Linked DNA regions of Macaca mulatta. The protein of the gene in region 5 purifies or fractionates together with the protein of the main gene of each other region. This does not show direct contact. Links are inferred from orthologs where the notes say so. Each region holds a gene or a part of one and is shown on either strand. Other genes may lie near its edges.

Region 1 (4,025 bases), on a different chromosome or scaffold from region 5:
CATACCTGGGCAAGGGAAGTTTAATTTCACTATAGAGTAAATCATTTTTTCAAGGAAACCAGAGGGCGTGTCATACAGCATCACTGAATATTCTAATATGAGATGAAGCTGTTATGCTTCCTTATGAACTTTATAAATCTTCATTTTTATGAAGCTTAGAATTCATCCCCCTTCCCTCTTCCACTGTTTTCCCGGGGTCACAGTTGTAGTATAGTTTGTCCAATGGATTTCGCATGGTCATTGTACCTGGAATATGTCACGCTCTCTACTCCAACCGCCCCCAAACTCTTCTCAGCAGAGATAGGCTTAAAGCAGCTTGCTTTTAGGCGGCGACGCAAACACACGTAGCCAGTTGAGCGACAGCAAGCAACCAAATGGCTTTGCTGGAGGCCCCCTGCGTTGCACGGGTAAAGCCCGTTGCAAAATACAGTCCTTTCATTTATTCCTCTGTTACTATTTATGAGACTTGTCAAGGCTGCAAGGGCATGCGCAGCCTTCCCACCACACAGGACCCGCTGGGGTCTCCGGCTCCCCTAAAATTAAACCACTGTCTTTCGTTCCGACTCATGTTTAGCTGTTGTGCGTATTTTACAGATAAAGGAGGGATCCTGTCCACAGACCCAATTCTAAGGGCCGCCTTCTCCCCCACGGAGGAAGAAGCTTCCTGGCAAAAGGACGAACAGGTGCGACGCCCGCATTTCGCAGCCTCTCACCTGGCCAGCGGGCTGGGCTACTGTCCCCACTCAGCAGCTAGGGACGTGGGCCCCGCGGCGGCGGCCACTTGGGGTCTGCCGGGTCCCCTCTCTTTCCGCCTGCGCTCGGCCTCGGACCCCACACTCAAAAGCGCCTCACGCGTTCCGCCTTAGGCTCACTGTCCGATCTCGCCAGACAGCGTCTGGATGGGACCGGGAAGCGGCGGCCGTCACAGCTGTTCAGGTTCTGGGATCCACGCTCAGAGACGACAGCGCTGGTGATCACCAGAAGGCCTGCCGGCTCCCGGGAAAGAAAAATCCGTCCACAGTCCAGCGGCTGACATTTCCCAGTCAGCCGTAGCACCGCCCGCTTCCGCCTCCCCGCCTACCCCATGGGCCGACCAGTCCCGCTCCCGCGGGGGGTTGTGGGTATCTGGAAGGCGGGTAAAGCTGCAAGGGAAGGAAGTTAGGGCGAGCCCGTCGGACTACGAAACGGGACGGAAACTACAATTCCCAGCAGGCCGTGGGGCCTCAGAGTGCGGCCGCGAAGCAAAGCGGGCTGTAGAGTCTTGCGCGCGCGGTGGGGATGGAACGTTGCTAGACTTAGCGGGTCTGGCTCCTGGGGGTCCGAGCAGCACGCTCGGAGCCGCCGCGCGCCAAATCGGGAATCCGGGAGGCGAGCAGCTCTGCAATTAATGCACGTATTTTAAACTCCCGAGCCTGCGGACGCTATGCACAGGTAAACGGATTCAAAAAGGGAAGAGCATGAATGGACCCTCTTAATAATTCTTTTAGGCCGCGAATATCGCTACTGGCTAATATTGTTAGTAATGCTGTTAAGTGAATGGTTGCTTAGCCCCTTCTTGGGGAAAGTGTGAATGGATGAATGCCTTAGTGCGGGGATCAGCGTGCGGTTTTATCTGGCTTCCTTAATTGGGCTTTTTTGCCACCGTTTTCAATCACTGTATGATTGCCCTGTCTCTCTCCTTGTCTGTTCCCTCCGCTGGGAGAAATTCTTGAGGCCTTCTGCAGGATCGTAAGTCAAAGAGCCTTCTCGATTTGTTCTTTTCATTTCTTCATTTTCTTGGTAACTCTCCGCGGGCACGTAAAAAAATGCGATTGTGTTAGCTGCTGTGAAGGTTTTCCACAATACATAAACTGCAGCTTCTTTAATGCCTTCCTTGGAATTATTTATGGGTGTGTTTTCGAAAGGAACCGGGGGTATTGTGCACTTCTGCAGGAAGCACCTTCAGGAGATTCCAGACCTGAGTAGCAACGTTGCCACCAGCTTCACGTGGGGATGGGATTCCAGCAAGACTTCTGAACTGCTGTCAGGCATGGGGGTCTCCGCCCTGGAGAAAGAGGAGCCCGACAGTGAGAACATCCCCCAGGAACTATTCTCAAACCTGGGCCACCCGGAGAGCCCCCCACGGAAACGGCTGAAGAGCAAAGGGAGTGAAAAAGACTTTGTGATTGTCCGCAGGCCTAAGCTAAATCGAGAGAACTTTCCAGGTAAGGATATGAGGGTAAAAATGTAAGTTATGCAAAGGGTGGATTTAGCTATGTTGTTGGGAAACCTTTGTTCAGGGATCTTTACCATGGGTTCCTTTTAAGATTGCCTAATTCTGAAGCTGTTTTTTCAACACAATAGGGCAAGTCGTCAAGTATGCAGGAATCTTGGTAGGTATATATGTGTGTGTGTATGTGTGTATATATATGTGTGTGTGTGTGCGTTCTGGTGCATAATCACCCTGAAAATTTTAACCCATGAGAAGACATTCCTGCCTTTTTCCTTAGAAGGGAATCTGTCTTCCTAAAGGCCAGCTCGGTGCCACCAATTAATAGAAACAAAGCAGTGGTCTTCTTGTAGGATTCTTTTGCTTTGTACCCCTGAGTGAGCTTTTTGTCTTAATCACTTAAGTTATTTATCAGTGGACTGCTGAAGTGAACATTCACCTAAGTGGGGGAGAATTATCTCCCCAGGCCCACTCCCACTCCCATATTATCTTCTCTGGTGTGTTCTGTCTCCATTACTGCTGACACTATCTGTTTAATCACCCAACCCAAAAACCTGAGAGTCAGTCCGATTCCCACCGCCCCCAACATCCACTCATTCATTGCATCTTTCTTCTCTGGTAACTATTTCTCAAGTTCTTATCTTCTCTTGCCTCAACTATTGGAGCAGATTCATAATTCCAACCTTCTCCCCAGATCTATCCCCTAGAACTAGAATGGATTGACTGAAAAACTATTTCTTCCCTCCTTAATAGCTCCCCATCCCCTAGTTTCTCAAGCAGGTGAATGAGTGCCTCCCAGAGTGAACCAGAACCCTGGAGTATGCAAAAGCCATAGGGTAAATAGGGCAATGACCTGGGGTTATCAGTTTTTCTTACTAGTAAGCTATTTAAAACAGTAATGCAGCAAATATTTGCTGAGCACATACCATGTGCTAGGCAGTGTTCCAGGTGCTGGAGATACACCAGTGGGCACAACATAAACATTTCTGGTCTCAGGGAGCATCCATTCTAGTGAGAGAAAACAATAAACACAATAACTATTTTTATATAGTATGTTAGAAGGTGATAAGTGCTATGGCTAAAAACAAAAATGGAACAAGCCAAGAGGGAATGCAGGTCCTGGGGTGGGAAGATAGAGTGCACTTTTAAACCAGGTATTGAGGGAAAGCCTCAACTGGACAGTGACCTTTAAGCAAAGACATAAAGGAGGCAAGGGAGTGTGCCATGCAGATATCATGGAGAAAAGAGCTCCAGGCAGAAGGAATAGCCAATGCAAAGACCCTGGTGCATAAATGTGACACATTTGTTCCAGGAACAGGGAAGCCATATTCTAAGAGTAGAATGAGCAAAGGAGAGAGTTGGGAGAGATCAGGCTGGAGGTAATGTTGAGCACAGTTGTGATGGGACCTGATTTAACCTTCTAAAAAGGACACACTGATGTGTTGAGACTCAACCGCAGGGGTGTCAAGGGTAGAAACTTAGGGTCTTTTTTAAATTTCATATTTTCAAGACAGAGTCTTGCTCTGTCGCCCAGGCTAGAGTGCAGTGGCATTCTCTTGGCTCACTGTCTTCACCTGGATTTGAGAGATTCTCCTGCCTCAGCCTCCTAAGTAACTGAGACTACAGGCATGCACCACCACGCCCAGCAATTGTTTTGTTTTTTGTAGAGTTGGGCGGCGGCGGGGGTGGGGGTGGTGGTGGTGGGATCTTACCATCTTGTCCAGGCGGGTCTCAAACTCCTGGACTCAGGCGATCCTCCAGCCTTGGCCTCCCAAAGTGCTGGGATTACAGGAATGAACCACCACACCTGGCCAAA
Region 2 (4,288 bases), on a different chromosome or scaffold from region 5:
CAAAGTGCTGGGATTACAGGCGTGAGCCACCGCATCCAGCTAGGTTTTCAGTCCCGCATGCATTAGCTATTTGTCCTAATGCTCTCCCTCCCCTTGTCCCCCACGCTCCCAAAGATGGGTTTAAGGCTTCTAGGACTAGAGATGATCACTTTCAGAAATGAATAGTGGTGACCAGATGAAATAAGACTTTTGGATGCAGATGGGACCTTAGTGATATATTTCCAACATTCTATTTTTAATTTTTTTAATTTTAAGGATGAAGAAACAGCTTTAAGTTGATTGCCTAAAGTCACGCAAGTAATTGATGCAGTATGGCCAGAACCCACGCTCGGCTTAAGGGACAGTGTACCATAAACTCATAGAGGTCCTTTAAACAGATAGAAAGGCTGTGCTCCAGGGAGATGCCATAACAAACACCGGCTCTAGATCTACCATGGGTTATATGGGTCCTCAGTTAAGGTTAGATATGGAGTCACAGTGTCCCAGAATTTCAGGGAGAGAGGAAAGTGGAAGGGCTTTCCACTAAGCCTTTTAAACTACTAGGTACCCCTGATTTTACATCTGGTTATCTCATTTAAATCTATGACCTTTTAAAGTACTTCATTATTACAATTTAAGACATGAGAAAAATTAACTTTAGAAAAGGTTAGATAGCTCATGCTAGAAAGGAAGGACTCCAAATTTTAACCAAGAGCAGATGTCCATGGAGGCCAAGCCATTTTCTTCCCGAGCTCTCCTCATACCGACCCAACAAACCCATTCTGCACGTGAGAAAACTGAGGCCCAGAGGAGGGAATTCACACACGTTTGAAGCCAATCTGGGGCCAGAAAGTAGATCGGCTGAACTCCAAACCTCCAAGTCAAAGGTCTTCCCAGGATGTGACAATCTATACCACCCTACAAGTGATGGAGAGAGGAGAAAAAGCAACTAAGGAGAGAAGCTAGGAGCAGAAAAAGGAGCTAAAGAGGAGCTGTCAGAACGGTGTGAGGAGGGTGGGAAGGGAGCCTTCTCCTTTTGCCTCTATTCCTACCCATTAACAAAACAGAACGACTATCCAGCGTATTTCAGGGAGCTAAGTCCTTAGCCAGCTTCAGCTGTGTTTCAACCCTTAGCTAAAGCTAGACAACGCTAAGGCAGGCCAGGTGTACACTTCAGGTAGAAGTGGAAATTCCCAGGGCGGACCAAAACTTGAGCTGTTCAGGCGGTAGTGATTTGAGGTCGGTTTCAAAGAGAAGTTCAAAAAGCGGCCGAGGGGCGAATTTGGTTGCACTACACGCCCGCCACAAAGGCGCAGGGCCGCGGCCGCCGGGGCCGAGCGTGCTTCCAGCCCAGGCGGAGGGGTAGATGCAACAGCCTCCGCCCGTCACGTGACCCGTAGTGTTGTGGTCTGGCCCGCGTGGGTGGCGGGAGCGCCGAGGGGGCGGGGGCGGCGATGGGGCGGGTCACGTGACGGGGTTTAAATCTCCCGCAGCCGGAGCCGCGGGGGCGCCAGTGCCGCGCGTCGAGCGGGAGCAGAGGAGGCGAGGGAGGAGGGCCAGAGAGGCAGTTGGAAGATGGCGGACGAGGCGGCCCTCGCCCTTCAGCCCGGCGGCTCCCCCTCGGCGGCGGGGGCCGAGAGGGAGGCCGGGTCGCCCCCCGCCGGGGAGCCGCTCCGCAAGAGGCCGCGGAGAGATGGTCCTGGCCTCGAGCGGAGCCCGGGCGAGCCCGGTGGGGCAGCCCCAGAGCGTGAGGTGCCGGCGGCCGGGGGCTGCCCGGTTGCGGCGGCGGCGCTGTGGCGGGAGGCAGAGGCGGCGGCGGCGGGCGGGGAGCAAGAGGCCCAGGCGACTGCGGCGGCTGGGGAAGGAGACAATGGGCCGGGCCTGCAGGGCCCATCTCGGGAGCCACCGCTGGCCGACAGCTTCTACGACGAAGACGACGACGACGAGGGCGAGGAGGAGGAAGAGGCGGCGGCGGCGGCGATTGGGTACCGAGGTGCGCAGGGTGCGGGCGGCCGGAACTGCGCATCTCCTCCTCCCTTTCCCCGGGCTCCTACTGGTGTGAGGTTGAGGGCGGCCGGCGACTCGGGGCAGGCTCTGCGGCGTTCCCCTCCCCACCACGGCCCTTCGCTCAGCTGCGCTCCTCCGGGGCTGCCGTTCCTGCTGCGCGAGCTGCTGGTGGATTTGCTCTTTTCCTCCGTCCGTGACCCGCCTGGGCGGCCTTGCGCTTTGCGCAGCAGCCAGGTCGGGAGACTCTCGCAGTCACTTTAAAATAAGTTTCTCTCACCCTCTTACTCTTTTAGCATATTGGTTTTGTTAGAGCTTTTTTTTTTTCCTTTCCTTTTTCTTCTTTATTTTTCATTTGCTTTTCTTCACCCACCAACACACTTAAGTCTGCAACTTTTTGGCTGTCCCGTTGGTCGGCGTTTTCAATTGCTTTTTGTAAGCTGACACCTGTGCAGTTTGCTGTTTTTTTTTTGAAGGTCTATATTTTTATGCCTGAAGTTACAATTTTTAAAAGAGGAAAGCTGTTTCTGTAGTCACAGCCTGCAAAATTTAAAGAACATGGCTGTTTCTGAAGATATTAAAATTCTGTAATGCAGTTAGAAGTAGGCATGGGAGAGTGATAGTACTTTTAGAGCAGTTCATATTTTATTCTAATTTTGCTCTTGTACGGTAACGGTGTTTGGGCCAAGCGTACCTTTTTGTACGTAGTAATGATACACACGTTTAACACTTCTAGCATAATGAAGCAGATATGTTGCAATTGTCATGTTCTTCAAGGTTTTTTGTTTTTTGTTTTGTTTTGAGACAGAGTCTCTCTCTGTCGCTAGGCTGAAGTGCAGTGGCGCGATCTCGGCTCACCGCAACCTCCGCCTGTCCCGTTCAAGCTATTCTCCTGCTTCAGCCTCCCGAGTAGCTGGGACTACAGGCACCCGCCACCACGCCCAGCTAATTTTTGTATTTTTAGCAGAGACAGGATTTCACCATGTTGGCCAGGATAGTCTCGATTTCTTGACTTCGTGATTCGCCCGCATCGGCCTCCCAAAGTGCTGGGATTACCGGCGTGAGCCACCGTGCCCCGTCAGGTTTCATATTTTTGTTTCTCTCAAGGAGGAGTTTCTCTCCTTGATATGTGTTCGTCTTTATCAATACTTGGGTCAGGCCGGGCGCGGTGGCTCTTTCGTGTAACCCCAGCACTTTGGGAGGCCAAAGCGGGAGGATTTCTTGAGCCTAGGAGTTTTAGACTAGCCTGGGCAACATAGCGAGACCTCCTCTCTACTAAAAATTGAAAAACCCGGACGTGGTGTCGCACAGCTGCTGTAGTCCCAGCTACTGAGGTGGGAGGATTGCCCCCGAGTTTGAGGTTGCAGTGAGCTGTGATCGCGCCACTGCACTCCAGGATGGGCGACAGAGTGAGACCTCGTCTCAAAAAAAAAGTAGTATATGCTTTTAGGGACTGGTTTAGTAAAGAGACCCTGATTTCAAGCAACACCGTTGAATATTAATTTATTATTTATCTAATAATAATAGTGTTATTGATACTGTTTAATAGAAGAAACAATGCAGAGATACCTGTTTAGTATTATGTGAGAGTTTAACGTGCGCATTGCCAAGGTTATATTTGAATGACATTTTTGTGTAAATGCCCATTTATTACACGTTTCACTAACGCTGTTGTTTGTGATTGATACATTCTAGCTAGATTATTTTCTTTCTTTTTTTTTTTTAAAGACGGGGTTTCGCTAAGCTGTAGTACAATGGCGCGATCTCAGCTCACCTCTCAGCCCACTGCAACCTCCGCCTCCCGGGTTCAAGCCATTCTAGTGCCGCAGCCTCCTCAGTAGTTGGAATTACAGGCATGAGCCACCATGCCTGGCTACTTTTTGTATTATTGGTAGAGATGGGGGTTTCTCCATATTGGTCAGGCTGGTCTTGAACTCCCGACCTCAGGTGATCCACCTGCCCTGGCCTCCCAGAGCTCTGCAATTACAGGCATGAGTCACCGCGCCCGGCTATCTTTTTCTGTTTTTTTTTTTTTTTTTTTTTTTTTTTTTGAGACGGAGTCTCACTCTGTCGCCCAGGCTGGAGTGCAGTGGCCGAATCTCAGCTCACTCCAAGCTCCGCCTCCCAGGTTTACGCCATTCTCCTGCCTCAGCCTCCCGAGTAGCTGGGACTACAGGCGCCCGCCACCTCGCCCGGCTAGTTTTTTGTAGTTTTTAGTAGAGACGGGGTTTCACCGTGTTAGCCAGGATGGTCTCGATCTCCTGACCTCGTGATCCGCCCGTCTCGGCCTCCCAAAGTGCTGGGA
Region 3 (4,268 bases), on a different chromosome or scaffold from region 5:
AGCTCAGGAGGTTGAGTCTGCAGTGAGCTATGATCACTCCACTGTACTCCATCCTGGGTGACAGAGGGAGACCCTGTCACAAAAAAAAAAAAAAAAAAAGAGAAAAAAAGAAATCTTTCTTAACCTTTTTGTGCTTCAGAAAGTGTTCACTACAAAGAAATACCCATTCTCATGTCACTTAAATGACTCATGGTTGCCTCCCTTGTTTACTGTGGCAAGGTCAAACACAGTCCTTCTGAATTCCCATTCTTTGCCTCATAAATGATTACAGAGCTGCTTGTCTCCATTGACCAGATGGAAAAAATGCTTATGAACCAAACTTGGGTTAAGCTTCTTTCCTTTCCCCAGGCTGCTTACTTTAACCCACTCTCAGCTTGCGCTAGCATACAACCCCTCCTGAGAATAGGTTGGTCTCAAGATAAAACATTCTCTGATCTAATATCTGATCAAGCCACCTCTTCATCCCACTTTCCATATTCGGTTGTTTCTAGCGTTGTTTACCTGCCTTTGGGGAGTGTTGGGGGTGGGGGAACCCTCTTTTTTCCTAACTATTGAAACATCTGCGGATTTTTTGGTCAGAGTGATCTCTCTATTGCAATAGTCTCCCTCTGCTATTGCACAGTTCCTTCTCTCCTACCTCTCCCATTTCTTGCAGTAATCCTTTCTAATAAGTATCCTTATTAGTCTGGATTTGTTTTCTTATTTGCCAGAATCAAACAGACTTCAGATTATGTTCCTGGCCCAAAAGCCCTTTAACTTTCAGCAAGCCACCTAACTTTTCTTAGATTCTGTTCTTCATATGTAACTTGGCGATACCTTTCAGGACTCTTGTGAGGATTAGAGACGTAAAACCCTGAACATATGGTGGCTAGTAAATTAACAGCAGTCATCGTTCTTGATTATGAGTCTAGAGTGGTATATCAAAGTTAACTTGTGAAAGGCCTTACAGGCCAGATAGAGAAACTTGTCATAATCACTGCTGTATCTTCAACACCTGTCCAGTGCTTCGCACGCGCATAGTATGTAACCAACAAGTACTGAGAGGGAATAACTTCATCTCACTTACAGTGAGGAGCTATGAAAATGATGGCTGGTTTAGAAAAGGCAAGTTGGTCACTGTCGACGTTTACCGGCCTTTTCCTACTAAAATTCTCATCTCCTGGCTCTCCACACCTGCCACCCTCATGGTCCCTGTGTTGCGTTTGATGCCGCCTCTCCTGGAGAATGGCCATGGTGATCATTCCTGTTATCCTCTGAAATCAAAAGAGAGAACGTGGGGCACTTTCTTAAACGCCCGAAGGGAATGTAGACGATCCGACACCTGGTGAGGGAGACACTCTCCATCGCCTTCCCCTGATGCCCCGCCCTCCCCACGGCTCAAGTTCCTCCCACTTAGCCTGGTGCTAGGGGCGCATTTCTCCGGCTTGCCTCTGGTCCTCTGCGCACGCGCGCCGCTTCCTGGTGGCAGGCGCGGGCAGGGCCGCGTTGCGTCATCGGGGCGCGCGCCTCAGAGAAAGCTGTGGTTGCCGGAAGTTGAGCGGCGGTAAGTGAGCAGCGGCGAGCGAGGGTGTAGTGGGGTCTTGCTGGGCCGGTTTTGGAAGCCTGGAGTCAAGGGGCGAGCTCTCCAGGGAGGGCGAGGGTCACAGCAGGTCTCAGGGTCTTCCTCTGCCAGCTTCTGGGTGGTCCTTCCTCCTCCAGGGACTCACTGATTACGGCGGGCGCCCTTCGTCTGTAGCCGCGTCCCCTCAGACTGGTTCAGTCCGGGGTCTTCTGACTAGGAAGCTCGTGCTGATTTCCTAAGTTAGCCCCTCCTGTCTTCTTGGTAGGCAATGCTCAGAATCTTCAGTGTTGGACCACGGGAGATAGGACATTTGGATTCCTAGCCTGGCTGTGTCTGGCTTTGCTGTCTCTGGCACGTTCCTTCCTCTTTTAAGCTGCTTTTTCCTCATCTGTAAAATGGGAATGATACTCCGTCATTTGTTAAGTGAGGAGGTTAAATAAGTTTACTTTCTGAGAAAGAAGATTCTCGATTCCTTGGTTACGGGGTTAAAAAATAATGCACAATAAGAATCAATCCGGTAAGGTAAATGCAGGTGTTAGAACATTTGTCAGAAATAGAGTCAAACTTTTAATTTTACCGAAATGAATTTTATAAGTACAGTACTAACGTGCATGATGTTGGAGAAGTAAAAGCCAAACTGTGTGTGTGTGCACGTGCGTGCAATTTCCTGATTTTTAAACACTGGCGACTGATGCCATTTTTAAAAAATTGGCAAGTAATTCTGTTTTTTAAAAACATTGGCAACTCAATTTTTACAAAACGCTGTTCAGCTGTAACCAGTCATATCTGTGGCTGCCAGTTTGGGACCTGTGGATCCCAGGCTCCCTTTTTCATTGTCTACTTAGATTTTTTTCTCTGACACCTCTGCCCACTGGCCAGATATCTTCAGTGACAGAAAGCTTTCTACTTCTGGTTGCTCCTGTTTGGTCCTTCCCCAGTTCTGAGTCTTAGGTTGAGCTGAAAGCAGCTACTCAGTAGTCTTAGCTCACTGTTCCTTCTTTAGGCTCTTGGAATCATCCCTGCATTTAATTGCCCTATACATCATTGAAAGCTGCTAGTTTGTCGTCTTCCTCTCACTTTTTCTTCTCTAGGCTAAGCATATTTAACGTATTTGCTGATAGTAAACTTAACGACGACAGCAAATTTTGTCGTGTTTTGTTATATCCCCAGCATATAGAGCAATGCCTAGCATTTTATATATGCTCAATACATATTTGTTGGATGAATGAATGAAACACGTATTTGCCTGTTATTGCCTGGCATTATTGTGGGCACTGGTGATCTATCAGTAAAATAAGATGAAAAAGAACCCTGTTTCATGGCACCTTCTAATAATAGTGGTGGTGCCAGCGGTGGCGGCATTGTCAATGAGGGTTGGTAGGTGTTTCAGATTCTGAAACGTACTACAAAAAGAAACAGGGTCATGGGATGGAGAGTAATTGGGGGAAGCATAAAAGCTAGCTGGTCAGGGATAGCTTCCCTGAAGAAATGACCTAACACTTGAATAAAAAAAAGGCCAGTCTTGGAATGGCTCATGTTGCTGAACTGCTCTCCCATCCCCCAACGCTGCTCCAGTCTTGTTAAGCTGCTTGCAGGTGTGTCTCACCTATAGCCCTTTGCTTCTGCTGCTTAGAACATCTCCCCTTCCCCTTCCGTTTATCTTGGCCAGCTCCTTCCTGCCCTCATGTGACATGATTTTGAAATCCTTTAAGAGCTGAGTACTGGACTTTCCATTATTCAACCATAGGTTCCCTTTTCTGTTCCCAGCCAGCATCTCATTATAGAGAATAAACATTTATTGAGCTTCAGCTGTGTGTCTGGCACTGCACTGCAAGCTGGGAATACAAAAATGAGTAAGATACACATCCCTGTCCCCAAAGAGTTTACCTTTTTTTAAGTCAAGGAGATAGCAACGGTATGGTATGGAGCTATTACGGAGGTTTGGTAGAGGATAACTTAGGGTACTCATAAGTCAGGCTGACTCATCAAAAAAGGTTTCAGTGAGGAAGTGCTGCTTTAGCCAAGACCTAAAGGATGAATAAGATTTTACAGGTGAAGAGTGGTTCGAAGTGGTATGAGCAAAGGGCTAGAGGTGAGAATGCATGGCCTGCTTGTGGTTCACTGGAGTGGCAGTGTGGAGGTGTAGGATGAGAGGTGACTGGAAAGGTAAGCACTGGCCACATTGTGAAGGACGCTGTGGACAGTAGCATGTTAAGAGCACATAGACTTTGGGATCCAAGATAGCTGCCTGCCAGTATTCGCATTGCCACTGAACTAGTTTTGTGACCCTGGGCACAGAAAGTCACTTCCTTTCTAAGCTTCAGTTTCCTCATCTCTATGAAGGGGAAATAAAAACTGAATGAGGTGATATATTACTCACTTGGCACTGGTAGATGATAAATAATAAACAGTAGTCATTAATATTGCCAGGCCTAGAAGTTTGGACTCTAAAATGTGGGGGCGGGGGTGGAGAGCAGGACACTGAAGATTTTAAAACAGGTGGGACATCCTCTCATGTTTTAAATTACCCAGGCAGCAATGTGGTGGTTACACTGGACAGAAGAAGACAAGCAGGGGACCAGTTGGGTACAGTTGCAGTGATCCAGATATCAGGATGAAGATCTGGATGAAGGCAGTGACAGTGGAGATGGAGAGAGGTGGGAGGAGTTGAGAGATTAAGGAGGTGGTATTTGCTGGACTTTGGTAA
Region 4 (4,149 bases), on a different chromosome or scaffold from region 5:
GGTGGGCTGGCACTCTTGCAGGCTGTACAGAGTGAGGCTGTGTGGAAGGCCTGTGCCCAGCATGTATCGGCAGCTTGGCCTAAGGGAGAGCTGGAGGTGCTGATGGGGGGCCTTCAAACTCCTGTGAGACTGCCTGTCCACCTCTCCTGGCAGCCTCTGGCAGGCGGTGTGCCCAGTGCTGGGGGACTCAAACCTTTCCCTGCTCCTCTAGCCGAGGGACAGGGGACAAGTGACTTAACACCTCTGTTTCAAATTCTGCCTCTGTAAAATGGCCATGATAGGCATTTCTCTTCACAGGGATGCCAGGAAGATGAAGTGAGATGAGGCAAGTTTGGCACTAAACAGTGTGCACAGCTGGAGTAAGCCATCAGTAAATGTTAACCGTGACTATAACGAGCTGACCCCTACCAGCCACCCAGTTACGGAACACATCACACTCCTTCATGCCCCCAGGTCTTTGCACAAGCGATACCTGTCGTGTGGATCACCTTTTCTCACCTTGTCTAAGAAAATTCTAAGTCACTCTTCACTTATACTGTGTCTGTATCTTGGTCTGACAGCTAGACCAGCCTGTGGATTCCTCCAGGGAATGGCCTGGCTGGAATCTTCTTTGACCCAGAAAGTTTTTCTCTGTGCTCCCACAGTGCCCTGAGTTTCTTTACTTTTCTTCCTTTTTTTTTTTTTTTTTTTTTTTTTGAGACCGTGTCTTGCTCTGTCGCCCAGGCTGGAGAGCAGTGGCACAATCATGGCATGCTACGGCCTTAAACTCCTGGGCTTAAGCAATCCTTCCCCAACTCAGCCTCATGAGTAGCTGGCACTACAGGCATGTACCACTGCACATGGCTAACTTTTAGATTTTTTGGGGCCTCCCTACGTTGCCCAGACTGGTCTGGAACTTCTAGGCTCAAGCGATCCTCCTACCTCAGCCTCCCAAAGTACTGGTATTACAAGCATGAGCCACTGTGTCTGGCCTGAGTTACTTTCTTTCTTTTTTACTTTTTAGAGAAAGGGTCTTGCTGTTTTACCCTGGAGTGCAACGATGCAATCATAGCTCACTGCAGCCTCAAACTCCTGGGCTCAAGCGATCCTCACGCCTCAGCCTCCTGAGTTATTGGAATTACGGGCATAAGCCACTGCACCTGGCCCCCTGAGTTACTTTTATCATCACACTGTGAGATAATTTTTTCCCATCACTTGTCCACGAGATCTGTGCGTTCCAAGACCAAATGGGATACCTGTCTCTTCCAGGCCCAGGACAAATTTGGTTCAGAAGGGATGGCAGGCAGTGGCGAGGAAGGAGGAAAGTTTGGGAGGGCAGGCCTGGACTTGAGGCTGGAAACGCTTCTCTGACAATCCCCAGAATCCGCCTTTCCCCAGAAAGCTGCACTGGGTGGTGTGAGGGATTGGGGCAATGAGCCGAGGGCCGTGGGGTGACTGTCTCCCCTTTGCCACCTCCCCCCCTGCGGGCTGTGGAACAAGTCCATCTCTCTCCTCCCCTCCACCCTTTCGCCCATCTCACCTGAGCCTCCTGCACCTTCCCTGCCTGGGTCTCCAGAGGGTGAGAGGCTGAGGGAGGGGAGCAGAGGTGGTTACAGTGGGGAGAATGATTAAGTGGGGAATAAAGGGATTCAAATGGTCAGTGAGGGGCCAGAACACCCACCAACCGAGTTACACTGGGATGGGATGGTGGTAAAAATGGAGCACGGGGAGGGAGGGGGCGGAGAAAAAATCTTATCAGCATGCAAAGTGATGCCAGGAGAGGTGATTAGTGAGGGGCAGAGAGGCTGGAGAGGAAGATTTAGAAGGAGAGGGAGAAAGTAGGGGCTTTTGCCCAGGCTGATCTTGAACTCCTGGGCTCAAGCGATCCAACCACCTTGGCCTCTCAAAGTACTGGGGTTACAAGCATGAGCCATTGTGTCTGGCCCTGACTTACTTTCTTTCTTTTTTACTTTTTAGAGAAAGGGTCTCGCTCATGTCACCCAGGCTGGAGTGCAATGGTGCGATCATAGCTCACTGCAGCCTCAAACTCCTGGGCTCAAGCGATCCTCCTCCTCCTACCTAAGGGATTCAGGGCATGAAGGAACACTCAGGAGGAGTTAGGAAGGACACGACAGTGTGTCAGTGTGTGTGCGGGAAGGGTTAGATTTACAAGGCAGAGGGAAGTTTAGAAAGGAAGAGAGAAGGGAAGGGACGCTTTGGCTGGGAGGCAGGTTTAGGAGGGAGGTGCAGTGGTGCAGTGGAGGCGGTAGGTTTAGGAGAGGCGCGGAACAAGGGGAAGCCATAGAAGGGGACAGCAGGGGTCCCTCAGCATCCTCTGGTTGCCTCTAACAATCAGGTACCCTTAGCAGCCGGGACCGGGGCAACTTATGTTCTTTGCAGCGAGGGTCCTTAGCAACCAAGGTGTGAGAAACACGCGATCATTGGCAACTTGGCAAGTGGATGTGGTAAACGAACCCTGAACACCCTGCGACCCAGAAACCCACCAGCCTGGCGATATAGATCGCTTAGCAACAACCCTCAGAACCCCACTCCCCGAGGCGCTCCCTACTTCCCGCCCCACTGCGGCCGCCCTTGGGCCCCGGGGCCTGCAGCCTTCAATCAGGCCCCGGCGCGGCCCGACCCTCCCACCCGGATTCCCGACTCACGGTCCGGCTCTGCCATGGGCGCGGTGCTGAAGCCCTCGAGGCTGTCACCGACCGCTCTGTCCCGTCACCGACCACTGTGTCCCGTCACCGACGGCTCTGTCCTGTCACCGACTGCTCTGTCCCGTGACGGCACCAGAAATGGGAGTGGCCGGGATAGGGCACTGAACTACAACTCCCAGCAGACATTGCGGCCGCAGACGCGCTTTCCTACGACACCCGGAGCGCCCCAGTTAGGTAAGAAAGCGCGCGAGGACCGGACTACGAGTCCCAGAAGTCATGGCGTCAGCAGCCATGTTGGTAAAGGGCGCCCGGAAAATGTGGGAACGGCTAGAGAGTCGTAGTCCTCTCGAATACTCTGATTGGTCAGCATGCGGCACGGGGGCGGGGTGTGAGCGATTCAGCATATTATCATTGGATGAATCAGGGGGCGTGGTGGGGAATTTCCCGCAGGGCGGAAGCGCCAGAACTCCCGGCAAAGCCCAGCTACAGGCGGGCCACTGCGAGGGGCCCCTGAGGTGGCGGGGGCCATGGCTGGGGTCGCGTGCTTGGGAAAAGCTGCCGACGCAGATGAATGGTGCGACAGCGGCCTCGGCTCCCTGGGTCCGGACGCAGCGGCCCCCGGAGGACCGGGATTGGGCGCGGAGCTGGGCCCGGGGCTGTCGTGGGCTCCCCTCGTCTTCGGCTACGTCACTGAGGATGGGGACACGTGAGTGAACTTTAGGCTGCCAAACGGAGCCTTAGGACCCGGCATCTGATTCCCCATTAGTGTCTGATCCCTGAGGCTTCCTAACCTCACACTCCTAAATCTGACTTCCGATGCTGAACTTCCTGACCTCTAACCCCCGAGTCCTAACTTTTAACAAAACCAATCTTCTTTCCAGCTATGATCCTCACCCAATCATTTCTGACCTTTTCCTGAACTATGATTCTCAGCTCCTGGAATCCACGTTGTATCCACTGATACCCAAACCTGACTCCAGTCCTGAGACTTTTGTTAGAACTGTGGCTTCTCCTGACTTCTAACCTCCAAATATGATCTTTGATTCTTAGTTCCTGATTTGAGCCTTAAAGTTTGATTTCCAAAATTAATGCTTGGTCCCTTACTCTAAGATCCTGTCATCTGAGCAGTGTTCTTCAAATCTTAAATTCAAAGAGAGAGAATGTAAGCTCTTCTATGTTGAATTCCTAATTAAAGTAAAAAAAAAAAAAAAAGGAAAATAGAAAAAAAGAATGTAAGCTCCACGAGACCAAGGATCCATCTGTTAAACAAATATTCTTTACACAGTACAACATTCCAGGCTCCGTTTTAGGTGCTAGTGATAAAGGCAGTGGAGAAAACAGACAAAAACTTAAGCGCTTGTGGAGCATACATTTTAGTGGAACTAAATAAACAGATAAGACCGCAAGGAAGGAAAGAAACAGAAAGACAGGAAGAAACAAAGAAAGACACGCAGAAAGAAAGAAACATAGAAAGTAAGAGAAGGAAATAAAGTCAGAGGTAGTA
Region 5 (4,021 bases):
GGGATGATACTGTATGTAAAATAACCTTGGTGTTAACAACTGCGCAGCTAAGACCAATCTTTTATTATGCTGTGGAGTCAATATGAGAGGCAAGGAAAGGTTTGTTTAAAAAGATGTTTCGCTCGGCCGGGCGCAGGGGCTCACGCCTGTAATCCCAGCACTTTGGGAGGCCGAGGCGGGCGGATCACGAGGTCAGGAGATCCAGAACATCCTGGCCAACACGGTGAAACTCCGTCTCTACTAAAAACACCAAAATTAGCTGGGCGTGGTGGCTCTTGCCTGTAATCCCAGCTAGTCGGGAGGCTGAGGCAGGAGAATCGCTTCAACCAGAGAGTCGGAAGTTGCAATGAGCCGAGATCGCGCCACGGTACTCCAGCCTGGCGACAGAACGAGACTCCGTCTCAGAGCGGGGATGAAAAAAAAAAAAAAAAAAAAAAAGGTGTTTAGCTCAACTAGACAGCCTTTACAGCAATTCCGCCACCGGTGACAGTGAGAAACTGTCAGCTTGGGGAGGCCGCGCGGCGACTGGACCCCGCCCCCGGGAAGCCTCCCCGGGGCCGAGGCCACCCCCCCGCCCCGGGCCTTCTCCTCGGAGTCGGGAAATGCCTGCCCCCACGCTAAGTCTCTACTGGCCACTCTCTATAAGGCAAAAATGGCAAAAATCCTCATTTGAGGCATCGCTCCCTCGACGCCCATCGCCACTCCGACTCCCTCAAAAAATTGGTCGCAAAGCCCCCCGCCTGGTCCCTCATCTGGACCTCCATTCTCAAGAACAGGGTGGCAAGGCAGGAAAAGACGCACACTTCCCAGCCCCCGGCCCCCGAGGGCAGCCTCTGTGTTTCTCAATAAAGCCTCCTACCAGGGGCAAGACCAAGTTCGGGCGCTTCCCCTCGTGGAGAAACGCTGGCCCCACGGCTCCCGGCCCGGACGCGCTGGCCCTTTAAAGGCGCGGGCTTCCTGCGCCCGGGGCCCCTCCCACGCCATCGCCACCGCCCGCGCCCGCCCCCGCCGAGGGTCACACTTGAACTTTAGCTCGCCCAGCGCAGCCAGGCGCCGGCGCTCCGCAGGCGGTGGCCGCCCCTTCGCACGTGTCGGAGGCACCACCTCGGGCTCGGGACGCCCGGCCCCCGGCACTCGAGGCCACTCCAGAGAAAACCAAACAAAGCAAAATGCGCACCGCCTCCAGAAACTGCCCGGCTGGCCCTGCACCGTCCACGGCCGGTCGCGCCCTGCCTGTCCCCTCCACCTGCAGCCCGGTCCCGGGACAGGGAGAGTCCGGGGCCCCTCGCCGCGCCCTCCCCCGCCGCGCCCGGCGGAAACAGCTCCGCAGCGCGGCCGGAGAGGACCTGCCCTCCCCCCGCGGAGGTCCGGGAGGGAAGGGGCAGTCGAAGCAGTCAGCGCGGGCCGGGGGAGTGCCCCTCCCAGCGAACCCGTTTCTCCTTTCACTGGCAAACTTTTCGGCCGCTGATATCCACTTCTTGGCGCACTTTCTTTACTTAGTTCCTCGACGAGCCCCTTTTCGCGTCCCACGCGAACTCTTGACTGGCGCGCGCGCACACCTACTGCCGTCCCCGACCGGACCTGGGCGAGGTCACCGCGACCACCGCTTCTCGCCCGCCCTCCTGGGAACGCGCTGCCCTCCTGGCCCGCACCTTCAGGCCGAGCAAACCTGCACAGCTGCGCCCTCGCCTGACCCACCGCGCCCCCAAGGTCCGGCCGCGCGCCGAGACCGCTCACCTTCCAGCCCGCCGAGCTGTTGCTGTCACCCTTATCCTTGAAGTAGGGCACGCTCTTGACCATCCACTCGTAGATCTGCGACAGCGTCAGCCGCTTCTCCGCCGAGCTCTCGATGGCCTTGGTGATGAGGTCAGCGTAGGACAGGTTGCCCCACGCGTTGCGGCGGGACGAGCTGCTCTTGCGCGGCTGCCCCGCGAGAGGCCCAGCGGCAGCGGGGGGCACTGGCGGGTGCTGCGACAGCGGCCCGGGCGGCGGGGGCTGCGGCGGCGCTGGGTGCAGGCAGCCCGCCTCCGGGCCTTGGAAGTCCCCGCACAGTCCCCCGGTGGCGGCCGCGGCGGCCGCCGCCGCCACCGCCGCCGCCACGGAGCCGGGTGCTTGCGGAAAGTCCTCGCTCTCCTCCAGCAAGCTCAGGTTGCTCATGAAGTCGGCGCTGACAGCGGCAGCCGAGGCCGAGGGCAGGCCCGCCGCGGCGTCGGGGTTGGCAGCCGCGCCGCCCGACGGCGCCGGGCTGGAGGTGGCCGAGTTGGACTGGCTAAACTCCGGCCTGGGCAGCGGCCAGGTGCACGAGCGCGGCCGGGGCAGCGGCTCGAAGTCCGGGTCGATCTCCACCACCTGAGGCGCTTCGGCCATGGTGACCCCCGCCCCTCCCCCAGCCGCGGGAGAGCCAAGAAGGGGAGAACGCAGCACGGGGGCCGGAGGGGGAGGGGGCGCGAAGAGACGGTCCGAGATTTGGGGGAACGAAGCCGGTGCGGCGAGCGGACGGAAACTGGGAGGAAAGCGCGGCGGAGTGCAAGCGCGAGCCCAGAACTTAACTTCGCCGGGCCATCCACATCGAGGCTCCTCAGGGTCCGCCGCACGGACTGGACGGCTGGCCAGAGCCGCCGGGCCGGGGCAGAGCCTGCGCCGCGCTCCAGCTGACAGGGCCGCGGACGGAAGGACAGACGGATGCCGCGGGCCGCTCGCTCTCCCCGGCTGCGCGCCCGCTGCGCTGCTGCCTGTTGAATGTGGCGGCGGCAGCAGCGGCTGCTGCGACTACTAGGCCGCCCGACTTACGGGATCTGCCGCCGCTCCCCGCCCGCGCCGGCGCGCGCGCCGGCCCGCCCCTGACCGACAGCCCGCGCGGCCAATGGGCATGCGGCACCGCCGCCTGGGCAGCCAGTGGGCGCCGGGCTGGGCGGGGCCCGGTTTTCCACGGGGAGGCGGCGGTGGGCTGGTGGGGGGTAGTAGGGTGTTTTTCTCTTTCACACACTCATCTCCTTTTTTTTTTTTTTTTTTTTGGATCTCTATTATTTTCTGGTAATTCTCGAGTGTTTCTGTGATTCTCTCGCCTTCTCAGTGTTTTGATTGCTAGGAAGCAAAGCAGCGTGGAGGCGGCGGCGACACTTTGTTTACTACGGAGGAGCAGAGCCGAGTACTCTGGAAGCCCGGGTGGGAGGAGGCGCTCGCTGCGCCTTGACCTCTGCTGCGGGCCCAGCCCGGCGGGCGGACAGGGCAGGGGGCCGGGGACCCGGGGCGCGGGGTGGGTGGGTGGAGGCGGCCGCGCGGAATTCTACTCAATCGTTCCCTCCTGGCTCCACCCACGATGTCTTTGCTAAACGACGTGGGGAATCGGTGGATTTTGTTTTGGTTTAGTGTTTTCTTTCGCTGCGATCTGTCAAGTCCTCCGGCCCGCTCACGGGCTGCACACGACCACCGCCCCTGGCGCCGCGGGTCCTGCAGTCGAGTCCGCGCTGAGAGACCCTTCTCCGCGCCCGGTGCCCACCTGTCCGCACCCCCAGGCTCAACCTGTGCCATTCGGTCTAGCCAGAGGCGCGTCACCCAGCCGGGCAGCCCCCAACCGGATTCACTGTATTCTTGATCTTTTTTAAAAGGCTAGAAATGAGGAACAGGGGCCCCGGCGCGAGGAGGAGATTCTCCCGCCTCCCCGCACACACGGATCCAAAGGCACCCGCGACCGCATGCCCTCCGTGGGAACCTCTTCCCCTGGGCGGGAATCTCCCGCTTCGTCCACTGAGTCCAGGGCCGGCAGCGAAGGGCTCAGGAGCGCAGTTAGCGAGAACCAGGTCACTTTATTACTTACCCCTAATTAAATTTAACTGTTTGTTATTTCTTTTTTATTTACAACGGAAGTGATCGGGTGTTAAGTTAAAACGCAAGGGCGGGGGATAGGACCAAAGCCTTGGGGCGCAGCCTGCCCCATCCCCAAGTTCCTTGAGGCTACTTGCTGTGTGCGTCAACCAACCCCCCACCCACACCCCACCTTTCCTCGTCTGAGCTGCAGGTC

Evidence for each region. The genes of interacting proteins can lie anywhere in the genome.
Region 1: the proteins of FOXO1 (region 5) and SKP2 purify together in Homo sapiens (affinity purification with western blotting; 4 studies listed by BioGRID). This does not show direct contact. The link is inferred for Macaca mulatta from reciprocal best matches to the Homo sapiens genes FOXO1 and SKP2.
Region 2: the proteins of FOXO1 (region 5) and SIRT1 purify together in Homo sapiens (affinity purification with western blotting; 5 studies listed by BioGRID and IntAct, with this or other methods). This does not show direct contact. The link is inferred for Macaca mulatta from reciprocal best matches to the Homo sapiens genes FOXO1 and SIRT1.
Region 3: the proteins of FOXO1 (region 5) and ATG7 purify together in Homo sapiens (affinity purification with western blotting; 4 studies listed by BioGRID). This does not show direct contact. The link is inferred for Macaca mulatta from reciprocal best matches to the Homo sapiens genes FOXO1 and ATG7.
Region 4: the proteins of FOXO1 (region 5) and SIRT2 purify together in Homo sapiens (affinity purification with western blotting; 3 studies listed by BioGRID). This does not show direct contact. The link is inferred for Macaca mulatta from reciprocal best matches to the Homo sapiens genes FOXO1 and SIRT2.

The regions. Positions count from the first base shown.
Region 1 is NC_133411.1:37,226,499-37,230,523, forward strand, and holds the start of SKP2 (S-phase kinase-associated protein 2), read left to right. Parts: upstream 1-1,225; 5' UTR 1,226-1,423; coding exon 1,424-1,431; intron 1,432-1,932; coding exon 1,933-2,204; intron 2,205-4,025. UniProt on the Homo sapiens protein: Substrate recognition component of a SCF (SKP1-CUL1-F-box protein) E3 ubiquitin-protein ligase complex which mediates the ubiquitination and subsequent proteasomal degradation of target proteins involved in cell cycle progression, signal transduction and transcription.
Region 2 is NC_133414.1:81,881,658-81,885,945, reverse strand, and holds the start of SIRT1 (NAD-dependent protein deacetylase sirtuin-1), read left to right. Parts: upstream 1-1,488; 5' UTR 1,489-1,554; coding exon 1,555-1,972; intron 1,973-4,288. UniProt on the Homo sapiens protein: NAD-dependent protein deacetylase that links transcriptional regulation directly to intracellular energetics and participates in the coordination of several separated cellular functions such as cell cycle, response to DNA damage, metabolism, apoptosis and autophagy.
Region 3 is NC_133407.1:150,124,902-150,129,169, forward strand, and holds the start of ATG7 (ubiquitin-like modifier-activating enzyme ATG7), read left to right. Parts: upstream 1-1,468; 5' UTR 1,469-1,543; exon of another isoform or gene 1,544-4,268. UniProt on the Homo sapiens protein: E1-like activating enzyme involved in the 2 ubiquitin-like systems required for cytoplasm to vacuole transport (Cvt) and autophagy.
Region 4 is NC_133424.1:49,992,568-49,996,716, forward strand, and holds the start of SIRT2 (NAD-dependent protein deacetylase sirtuin-2), read right to left. Parts: upstream 2,801-4,149; 5' UTR 2,662-2,800; coding exon 2,646-2,661; intron 2,059-2,645; exon of another isoform or gene 1,934-2,058; intron 1,567-1,933; coding exon 1,520-1,566; intron 1-1,519. Other genes in the region: NFKBIB (NF-kappa-B inhibitor beta), read left to right, coding at 3,173-3,351. UniProt on the Homo sapiens protein: NAD-dependent protein deacetylase, which deacetylates internal lysines on histone and alpha-tubulin as well as many other proteins such as key transcription factors.
Region 5 is NC_133422.1:20,126,810-20,130,830, forward strand, and holds the start of FOXO1 (forkhead box protein O1), read right to left. Parts: upstream 2,801-4,021; 5' UTR 2,368-2,800; coding exon 1,738-2,367; intron 1-1,737. UniProt on the Homo sapiens protein: Transcription factor that is the main target of insulin signaling and regulates metabolic homeostasis in response to oxidative stress.